3 linked regions of the Caenorhabditis elegans genome follow. The protein of the gene in region 1 purifies or fractionates together with the protein of each later gene. This does not show direct contact. Each region holds a gene or a part of one and is shown in the gene's direction. Other genes may lie near its edges. The genes, in order: F41G3.6, suox-1 and trx-4.

Region 1 (3,756 bases):
TTCGAGCCAACGGATACACAGTGATCGCAGCTGAACAGACGACTGATAGTGTGATGATGCATGATTTTGTATTCCCAAAGAAGGTATTAAGCTGTATTTTAAGAAAAACGAATAAATAATGTTTTATTTTCAGGCTGTGATTGTTATGGGCGATGAAAAAGAAGGAGTTCCGGTGAATCTACTACGCGCAGTTGATCAAACTGTGGAAATCAAACAAGTTGGGCATACTCGAAGTTTGAATGTGCACGTCACGGCGGCGCTTATGATTGCTAAATTTGCCGAACAAGTCAGATTTGATAAAAATTAAATAAACTTCCCTTGTTAAAGTTGTTGTTTTTGTTGTTAACTTTCTTTTTTGCTCGTTCTTGAACAATAAAATTAATAATAATTAGATGGTGTGTTGAATAAAAATAAAAAGCGTTGAGTTTTCACCATATATTTCTCCAAGAAAAAAGAAACTCTTATTTTTTGCCGTTCTACGATCGGAGATTTTGTGGATTCAATTCTCCGGTGTCTGCGAAAATTGTTGCGAGGTCTCCCAAGCAAACTCGCCCTAGTGCACACCTAACTTTATTTCTTATAAAGAATTTGTTTTTTGCAGCGCGTTGATTTTGCCGGTAAAATAAGAAGAATTGGCTAATCAACAATGTCATCAGAAGTACTTCGAGGCATTGATCCACGTGGATACTTTGCAACTTTTATCAAAGAAGGAGTCTATCCTGACGGACGTGGTCTTCTTGATGAACAAAAACTTGTTTTTAAGGTAATTTTTCTCACGATTCAATTCTATGTAAACTTTTCAATTTTTCAGCAAGGAGAATGTGGCGGTGTTGGTTCATCTGTCGTCAGTACCCAAGGAGTGACTGTTTCGTGTTCAATTCAAGCTTCAGTTTCACTCGTTAGTGATGCACCCCTGGTGGATATCAAAATTGAAGGTTCTCAGCAGCTATCAGAGGTTAGCTACTGAACATTTATTTACTTGTATTCATATAAATTATAGAAAGACGCAGAGGACTGCAACAGTGTCTTGCTTTCGTTATTCACAAATAATTGTTTCGTTCGACGCGAAAATTTGCGATGTTTGGATGTCTGTGGCAAACCTTTGCCTCTGGAATGGCAACTTCATATCATTGTTAAAGTGCTCAGTCTCGAGGGAAACTTTTTGGATGCAGCTGTGGTATTTACAAAAGATTTTGTTTTTTTAAACATAATTTTAAAATTTTTCAGTGCGCTCTCGGTGCCGCTCTTGTAGATGCAAAGCTCCCGTCGATTGTATTAAACCATTCCGAGGGCGACGAATCGACAATTGAAAAAACACAAATTCAAGCAGATTACCGAACAATGCATCGATTGACGCTCGAAGAACCTTTGATGTGCTGTTCATTCGGTATTTTCGTTGACGTTAATTCAGACAAAAAGTCTGAAGTTCTCCTCTTGTCTCCAACATTAGAAGCAATATCAGTGTGTCGAGCAACTTGTTCTGTAATTGTTGGAAAAGATGATCACATGGTTATGGTTCGTGAACGAGGACAGTTTTCTTCTTTCTCCCTTTTAAAGGTATTTTATTGTTATGTAGTTTTACGATCACTAACTTAATTCATATTCAGAAAATGTGTCAAATTACCGCCGAACGCCGACACAAATTCGTGGAGTCTCTTCAAAACGTTGTTTGATTATTTAATTTTGTTGCTCGTTTAAATATGTTTTCTGTTATAAATTGTTGTTTCTCGATCGATTTTCATATTGTTTGGATCCACCAATTCGTTCGATCGAATCGTATCTCATTTTTTGGCATTTTTTTCAAATTTTAATTCTCCATTTCAGATCGAAATGCGATACTTTGGAACTTTCAATAGAAACAGTGCGTTTGATATGAAGTTTTTAGATTCAAAGTTTTTTTATTGCAGAGGGACTCTTCACAGAGAGCAGGGACATCATGGTTTATCAACAAGCTCGAGACGAAGAACACAAGAAGAGAAAAGAAGCAAATCTCGAACTTGATTCCGATAGTCACGTCGGAATGTGGCTTCTCTGTCACCCGGATAATGATCTTGCAATTGGTAATATTATTTCATTGAAATTAAGTTAAAAAATACATTCTCAGCTATGTACACAACGATGGTTCGACTTGCCGGAGAGCTGTCTCTAGAAGTGACACATGATGATATTATTGCCTGGCTCGGAACAGCAATTCGGTGCCATCCATCACAACTGGTCCCACGAGGAGAGGCGGTTTCCATTCGCGACAAGTAAGAATAATTTAAGTATAAACTTCGCAGTTTCTAAGTTACAGACCCACTCTCCCAACTGATCCTCGAGGTGGCGACTGGAACACAGGTGTCGGAATCACACAGACCTGTCTTTTGCTACGATATCTCTCACAATGCTCCCTGGACCAACTTTCAATCGATGAGAGAGCCAATGTCCTGTTTGGTAATATTGTTTTATCACTTGTAGATTTCCAAAATCAAAACTAATTTCAGCTATTCTTCGCGTCTTCAGTGATTCTGACGAAGTCGCCGCATCTCCAGATGCCCAGAAATTTGTTCGTCGTATCTATTCGTCGGGATCACGTTATGATTTAATCGATGCTCTCGCTGCAATTTTCTTCCAACTTTCAAGTAAGATATAATGTTAAGAATTCATCATTAAAGTTTTTGTATTTTCGCTCCAGACGACATTGCAACAATGGCGGACGCTGTTCGCACGCTGTGGAGCATCACAGAGGATGAGCCACTTGTAATGAGACTGACAGTTGAAATTCTGATGTGTTTATGCCAGAGATCTGAAGTTGTCGCTAATCTTCCAGAGTTTAAGGTATATTATAACTTAAATTCTTGATCAACAATAATATTTTTTGTAGCTGGGCGATCAAATGTACTGCAAGCAAGTGAAAATGATCATTCTCGATTTGACGTCTGACGCGCACGAACAAGTTCCAGAATTGCACCAGAAAGATGAGCTCAGCAATTTGGTCAATGAGGTGTTCAATCTTAAAAGATAGGGCACTAATTTCATATTATTTATGTACTTATTTCTCCCATCCGGCTTTCAATCATTTCGTGTGCTATATTTTGAACGGTATCCTTTTCATCCATTCACTCATAATCCCATGACTATTTTGCCAGTTATCATTGCGCATTTTACTGCTATTGCCAATTTGAAATAAATTTCTGTGAAAAGTTCTGAATTCTGAGTGGGCTAGCCAATGTTAATGAAAGAATGGGAAAATGTTATGAAACAATGTTTTTATTCAACATGGCAAAGTAGAAAAGAAACTATTTGTGTCCTGTTCAAATTTCTGAAAATTAAACCTGAATAATTCTGTTTCTCCTTCCTTGTTAACTTACGAAAATCACACCAAGAAAAGATCTGTTTGTCCGTACAACCAGTGGAACAACAATCCAGAGCTCTTAGTATTTCTGTTTGAATAGCTCCACCATTACACAGAAATGCAACTCGTCGGCTCAACGATTCCCCACATGACTGAAATTATTCATTTACAAAAATGCAACTTATTCAGAATGACTCACACGATAGGAATGATGTTTATTGTCACGAGGTTGGAAGTCATTTCCAGAATATGATTCTGATATGACTGCCAAAAGAGCAAAAACCACAATGAGAGGAAGAAGCTTCATTATCTGAAAATTAATTTACATTTGTTTTTGGGCAAGAAAAGAAATGTAAATGAACAAAATAGCTCTCGGGATATTCTTTTTATACCATCGATACAATCTGTAATTTAAGGTGGGT
Region 2 (3,756 bases), on another chromosome or scaffold:
AGTGGTGTACAGAGGAAAGTCGATCGTCTTACCCTAGGAGTTCAAACGGTTTTCAAGCAAGTTCCAGAAGACCTCTCAGCTAGATACATTGATGCAGTTCGTGAACGAATCCATCGAGTTGATCCCAACAGTCAATATTTAGTATTAGAAAATTGTTCACCGTTAGAAATTGAAGTATGCGTTCATTCGTCAGGTAATGCTCAATTTTGAAATTTATGATGATGATTTTCGAATTACAGGAGCTGTTTGGAACAAGGGAGATGGAGTTGCTGCTTTAGTGGAATCACTCCACGACTCGTTGAAGGTTGGAAAAGTTTGTGTCGCAGGGGACACCGCGAGTGATGTTCCGATGTTGAAAAAAGCAGCAGACGAGAATCCAGAGGTAAGATTTTGAATTGAGATAGTATGTCAATTGAACCACTATTAGCATACTTTTGAATATTTTTCGCTATCAATAAAACAACAGTGGACAACATCATACATATTAAGAAATCATAAGATCGCGAGAATGCCTACCGTTTTGGCGCGGGAATATCTCGTTGCGAAGGCACCTAAACCACTGGTCATCGCATGTTCTCTGTGCTATCGCTATTTTTGCGAAGTAGGCATTTTCATGAACTGATAGCTTCTTAATAGCTTGCACGTGGTGTCATAATGTCCCAATTCGGTTTGATCTACTTAGATCTACGAAAAACGCGGGTTTTAAGACGCAGAGTTCTCAACTCTGATTTTACATTGTTTAGAACATGATGACGTCACATTTTTTGGCAAAAAAAAATCCCGCACTTTTTAGTAGATAAAATTGTGATGGGAGAGCCTGACTCCACGTGAGCCGCGTGAGCTGGAATAACCTCGTAGACACGCTAGTAAACATTTCTCTTATTAAATTAAACTTGTATTTGAAATAATGCTAAAATGCTAAACACATCAGATAAATTTCTTGAAAACTTATTTTTTCCAGAACGTTCGAGCCTTGTTTGTCAATATCAACAAGCAGCTTCAAGAGAACATCACAAATATTGTTGGAGACGCCAAACGAGTCTGCTTCATCTCTTCACCAGATGTTGCTCACGCTGCGTTCGCCCAAATTATTTCAGAGTTCTCTGGATGAAAAATGAAATTGGATTGTTTCCCAACCATTAACTATTAAATATTAGAGTGGTAGAGAGGTAGAGAACAACGACAACTTGTTGTTTCTCAAATGTTCAACCACCCATCGTAACTTGCAATCAATGACCGCTGGTCAATGGTCAGCAAAGGCGACGAAACCTGTCTCTCTCTCTCGTTTTCTCTACGACCTCTGCTCTCTCTCACTGTTCCTCTTCTCAGTTTCTGCCACGTGACGTTTTTTTTTTCTGATATTCCATTTTTCGTTCTTCCCTCAAACTTCAATTGATTAGAACTGTAAAAATACCAAATAATTCAGTTATTGTTTTATAGAAATCGGTTTTATTAGCATGTTTTTATTGTACCCTCATTCACCAAAAATTCCTCATATTCGAATAATTGTTTAATAAAACTAGTCGGGTTTTGCTTTCTTTTTCCCCCCTGATTCAGTCCACTTTTCAATGTGTTTGTGAACTTCGTAGTTTTTTTTGTTTCAATTTTTTTTCAAAATTCAATTTCTAAAAAAGATATTTTATTTTTCAAAGTATTGTTTGTTTTTCGGCAATCTTGATATTTTAAACTAATAAGTTTCAAAGATTTTGCAAATTTTTTCAGAATGCTTGGCCGGGGCACATCTTTCAATCGGTTTTTTAGACACCGGCGTCAGTTCAACAAACTTTCGGGCGCCACTTCAGAACATCAGAGGACTAATGAAAATCACTCTTATTGTAGGGATCTACCACGAAAACTTGAAAATCTATTAACTAATGTTTAGACAAGTATGCATATATTGGAGGAGCCGCAACTGCTGGAGTGCTCGGATTCAAACACTTTGTGAAAACTGCAAAGCTTGATCACGCCAAAGATGAGACGATGTCAGAGAAGAAATTGGAGAATCTTCAGATATACAAGCAGGAGGAGGTCAAGAAACATGGAAAAGACGCAGACAGGATTTGGGTTACGTACAAAGATGTAAGTTGATTATTTTCAATTAGGACTCTTATGTCGTCCCCGAAAACACCCCTCTCACGCCACAATCCGAAACCTTTATAGCGATGCGCGGAACCCAAAAAGCGTCGGACGTGGAGTCAACTTTGCTACAAATAGTGTCATACTCTATGCCACTGTTTGGTGCAAACTCCGCGTCCGACATTTTGTGGGTTCCGCGCATCGCTTTGAAAATTTGAATTGCGGCGTGAAAGCGGCACCCACATGGGAGCCCTAATTTCAATTATTCAACTGTCCAGTTTTGGCTGACTGGACAAAATGTAGTTTTGTGACTTGGTTACAGGTTTTTAAGGACTTTTTTCGAACGCTTAGAACATTTCAAACTACATATATGCGTATTTCCAAATTGATGCTTGTTTATAAACTGGAATTAATAGTTTTCTTATTTTTACAGGGTGTCTATGATGTCACAGATTTCATTGCCATGCATCCGGGAGGTGACAAAATTCTGCTTGCCGCCGGTGCAGCTGTCGACCCATTTTGGGCTCTCTACTCACAGCACAAGACAAAAGAGGTTCTCGAGATTCTCGAAGGATATCGAATTGGCAAACTTGATGTAAAAGATGTTCCGAAAGTAAGTTCATGGAGTAGAAAAGAGGTGGCATACAATCCTTTATTGTGTGATTTATGAAATTCTGGTAACAAATTTTTTTGTTTAGATTGATTTTGAAGATTTAAGTAATGTGAGTTTGGTTGATTTTAATTAGGGTCCGGGTACAAACGCACCCAAAATATTGATCAATTTATCCTCTTATCTCACCTATGTTTGTGTTTGTTTTACAGCCAGTCGCTGACGCATTCTCCAATGATCCGGAACGTCATCCAGCTTTACTCGTGCGTAACTCGAAGCCCTTCAATGCCGAAACCCCTCCTTCCCTGCTTACCGACCACTTCTACACACCCAATGAACTGTTCTTTGTACGAAATCATCTTCCGGTTCCTGATGTATGTGAAAAGGGGTTGTGTGTGTAGTGAAGTTTTACGCTGGATTTTTTTTTAGATCAAAACTGAAAACCATCGATTGACTGTGGAAACCATCAAAGGAAAAACAGTGGATTTGTCTGTAGAGGAGCTCAAGAAGAAGTACAAGTCATATACAATTGGAAGTGTGATTCAATGTGCTGGAAATAGAAGAGCCGATATGAATCAGTATAAGAAAGTTCAAGGACTGATGTGGGAAGGAACTGCAATCAGTAATGCCGAATGGACTGGAGTTCGCTTGAGAGTAAATTTGAATTTTAAAATATGAGATATTAATTAATAAAATTCAAGGATCTTCTCGCTGACGCAGGAATCGACGTTTTCGACGACAAGATCAAGCACGTCCACTTTGAAGGAGCAGATGTTGATCCGACTGGAACACCCTACGGAGCATCAATTCCCATTGAAAAGGCTCGTGGAGATGAAGTCATTGTCGCTTATCACATGAATGGAGTTGATATTCCGAGGGATCACGGAGCTCCTCTGCGGGTCATTGTGCCAGGTACAACGGTTTTAACATACTTTTATTTAAAAAATTTTTTCTGATAATCGTTAATAAAAGAAGTCATTCAGGTAATGTTGGTGCTCGACAAGTGAAATGGCTCAGAAAAATTATTGTTAGTGAGAAGGAAAGTGATAGTCATTGGCAGCAAAAAGATT
Region 3 (3,263 bases), on another chromosome or scaffold:
AAATTCCTAAAAAAAAATAAATATTTCTCCAAAAAAAAAATGCAAAAAAAAAGAAAATATATTAACATTTTTTAAAAAGTTAAAACTTCTTAAAATCTAATTTTACAACTAAATAATTCATAAATTCAATGCAAAAAAAAACTCGAAAAATGAGAAAAATACAATAAAAATGAAAATAATTCAGTAAAAAATCTTTTTTTAATTCCAAATGAAAATTTTTTTCAAGTATTTTTTCGAATTTCCGGAAATTTTCCGTTTCGGCAAATTGCCGGAAATTCTCAAATCCGGCAATTTGCCGATTTACCGGAAGTTGACAATTCCGGCAATTAGTCGAGTTGCCGGAAATTTTCAACTCCGGTAATTTGCCGATTTGCCGGAAGTTGTCAATTCCGGCAATTTTGCCGATTTGCCGGAAGTCGAAAATTTTCTGTTTTGGCAAATTGCCGGAAATTTTCAATTCCGGCAATTTATCTATATGCCGGAGATTCTCAAATCCGGGAATTAGTCGATTTGCCGAAAATTTTCAATTCCGGCAAATTGCCAAAAATTACAAAAATCGTCCATCTTCCAGATTCCACTTCCTCCACCTCTGCAATCAGAAAATTGGCATCTCCAGATAGTCAAAAATCGCCAAATCTTCCGCCATCAGACTATGTCAGCCGTGCCGAATACGATGCCCTTCTCGATAGATTCCGTGCTCTGGAATCACGAGTTCTCGCCATTGAAAAGATTCGATTCTAGCCATTTTCCTCATTCATCCAATTATTCGTGTAAATTGTGCCCCCCATCTCTTCTCTCTCTTCCCCATTCACCCAGTGCAATATAGATTCTCGAAGCATATAAAGAGAGAGTATCAAATTGTCCTGTGATCCTTTGTTTTTTTTTTTGGAAATTCTCATTCAACCCACACCCCCGATTCGTTTGTATTGATTCACTTATCATTGCTCCAAATATTATACAATTTTTGCGATTTTTTGTGCTAAAATTACAGTACCACGGAGTCTCGACGCGACAAATTTTTGTTTCAAATTTTGCCAGAAATGCTAGAAAACAGCCCCAAAATATCAAATTCACTTGTAAAATTTTTAGAATTTTTCTAAATTTTTAATGTTTATTTTTGCAATTTTAAGGCAAAAATTCGAATTATTTTTAAATCCCCTTGCAAACAAATTTGAATGGGTTTTCTTCATATTTTCTCGGATATTTGATTTGAAACACAATTTTTCGAATTTTCAGACGTTTTTTCGGCTTAAAAGTCGATTTTTTCCGAAAAAAAGGTCTGAAATTTTGTGTTTCAAATCAAAAAATTCGGGGAATTCAAAAATAATTTGGTAATTGAAAATTGCGTCGTAAAATTGATTGTGAGAAAAAAATCTAGAAAAATTGTAAATATAAATTCTTCAAAAATTACACTTTTTTTCGAGTCGCTGCATCATGTTTAAAGGCGCACATCCTCTTGAAAAAATTTGTCGCGTCGAGACCAAGTATTTCACATCCGCTTCATTTTCTCGCTTTTTCTTTTTTTTCACACATTGTTGCTCAAAACGGCGTTCTTCTCTTCCCCCACTCCTCTCCCCCACATTTGGCCAGTCAGCAGGACCTAAAGATGTATCTCTTGGTCACCCGTTTTTAAAAATTTTTTATAATGGTTTATTGTTTCTTTATTTCATTTCTTCTCGGCCACACACACACATACTATAAATGTTATTGTGATTTTTATTTTTATTATTATGTGTTGATTAACGTAAATTTTATTCAAATTTTTGCAATGTTTTTCAATTAATTGAACTTCTACATTAACCGTTAATGTTTTCTTGCGGTGAATTTTAAATATTTCTAAATTCTGAAACCAAACCGAATATTTTTTAATACTAACTGTTAAATTGTAGTCTCTAATAGTATAGAGTTTCCGGGAATTATTACGCGAACGCTAAAATTCTGCGAATGCGTATTGAGCAAAAGACGAATTTAAAATTAAAAAATTCCAAATTATTTTTTTTTTATTTCAGATAACCGAAATGTCTATCGCAATCAAGGACGATGACGAATTCAAGACAATTTTTGCCGAGAAGAAAACCCAGCCAGTGATTCTATTTTTCACGGCTTCATGGTAGGTTGGATTTATGCACATGGCTGAGAATTTTCTTAATCGAAATTTCTAGGCCACGACTATTTGAAGCCTTTCATCAGGATAGTTTGGATTTCGAAACTTGAGTTTTTGATAGAAACGTAAATTCTAAAAAATGCCTTTTACAGTTTCAAATTAAAACTTTCATGAAATTAAATTCTCAAAATACACGATTCCAGGTGCGGTCCGTGCCAAATGATCAAGCCACGTGTGGAGGAGCTGGCCGCCGAGCACAAGGATCGCCTATCGATCCTTAAAATTGATGTGGACGAGTGTGACGGTGTCGGTGAAGAATATGAGATCAACTCGATGCCCACCTTCCTTCTGATTGTCGACGGAATCAAGAAGGATCAGTTCAGTGGAGCGAACAATACAAAGTTCGAGGAAATGGTCAAGGCAGCTCTTCAATGATTTTCACACTTTTAAACATCTTACATTATATTTTCTCTGAAGATTAAGAGTTCTGAACGAATAAACAGTATTATTTGAATTATTTATTTTTTGAAAACATGTATTATTACGTCATTGATGTTTTCGGCCTGAACTCCGAAAAGGTATGACTGGCGGACCCACGACATCCGGTTGACATTGCAGTCGACTGACTTTGAGCTTTTCGCATTTTTTTTTCAAAAAGGAATTTTCTTCGTATATATCTCTTAAATATCGAGAATTGTTTTTTTTCTCACAAAATCGGTTAAATATTGAATTGTGCCCAAGCTCATCCCAATTTTCAAAAGAGAACTGCCGTTACCTCAAAGGCGCATACAGAAGCAAGTAAAGTTATGAAAGAAATCCAGCAAACATATTGGGTCTCGCCGCGCGAAATGTATTTTTTAATTTTTTGGAATTGTCGAGTTTTCTTTTTCTTTTAATAGGTATTTGTTGGTTATTTCATATTACGGAAACGGAAAACTCTGAGAATGCGTCTTTCTTTTCAACATATGCTTTTGACGAGCAAAATATTTCGAAGCGAAAACTACAGTAATTCTTTAAATGACTACTGTAGCACTTGTGTCGATTTACGGAAATGAATTTATTTTTGAATTGTGGCAGCGATATTCAATTTTTCGTTTTTTTTGTCAATTCGATAAATAAATAATTTTAATTCATTTCGAGAATCAAGTCCGTAAATAGA

What was found.
Region 2: the proteins of F41G3.6 (region 1) and suox-1 fractionate together in Caenorhabditis elegans (co-fractionation; one large-scale study listed by BioGRID). This does not show direct contact.
Region 3: the proteins of F41G3.6 (region 1) and trx-4 fractionate together in Caenorhabditis elegans (co-fractionation; one large-scale study listed by BioGRID). This does not show direct contact.

What each region holds. Positions count from the first base shown.
Region 1 is NC_003280.10:6,741,090-6,744,845, forward strand, and holds F41G3.6 (DUF2013 domain-containing protein), read left to right. Parts: upstream 1-1,824; 5' UTR 1,825-1,830; coding exon 1,831-1,861; intron 1,862-1,907; coding exon 1,908-2,060; intron 2,061-2,104; coding exon 2,105-2,249; intron 2,250-2,293; coding exon 2,294-2,433; intron 2,434-2,483; coding exon 2,484-2,621; intron 2,622-2,674; coding exon 2,675-2,817; intron 2,818-2,863; coding exon 2,864-3,004; 3' UTR 3,005-3,178; downstream 3,179-3,756. Other genes in the region: T14B4.1 (tRNA/rRNA methyltransferase SpoU type domain-containing protein), read left to right, coding at 1-83, 134-307; exos-8 (Ribosomal RNA-processing protein 43), read left to right, coding at 647-763, 812-955, 1,001-1,177, 1,228-1,557, 1,608-1,673; ins-15 (INSulin related), read right to left, coding at 3,250-3,486, 3,534-3,641.
Region 2 is NC_003284.9:15,495,833-15,499,588, forward strand, and holds the start of suox-1 (sulfite oxidase), read left to right. Parts: upstream 1-1,722; 5' UTR 1,723-1,723; coding exon 1,724-1,835; intron 1,836-1,882; coding exon 1,883-2,079; intron 2,080-2,509; coding exon 2,510-2,689; intron 2,690-2,774; coding exon of another isoform or gene 2,775-2,822; exon of another isoform or gene 2,823-2,898; coding exon 2,899-3,060; intron 3,061-3,115; coding exon 3,116-3,340; intron 3,341-3,387; coding exon 3,388-3,598; intron 3,599-3,669; coding exon 3,670-3,756. Other genes in the region: gob-1 (Trehalose-phosphatase), read left to right, coding at 1-193, 240-382, 962-1,111.
Region 3 is NC_003279.8:3,317,331-3,320,593, reverse strand, and holds trx-4 (Thioredoxin), read left to right. Parts: upstream 1-2,009; 5' UTR 2,010-2,018; coding exon 2,019-2,110; intron 2,111-2,307; coding exon 2,308-2,539; 3' UTR 2,540-2,616; downstream 2,617-3,263. Other genes in the region: cdap-2 (SH3 domain-containing protein), read left to right, coding at 572-741.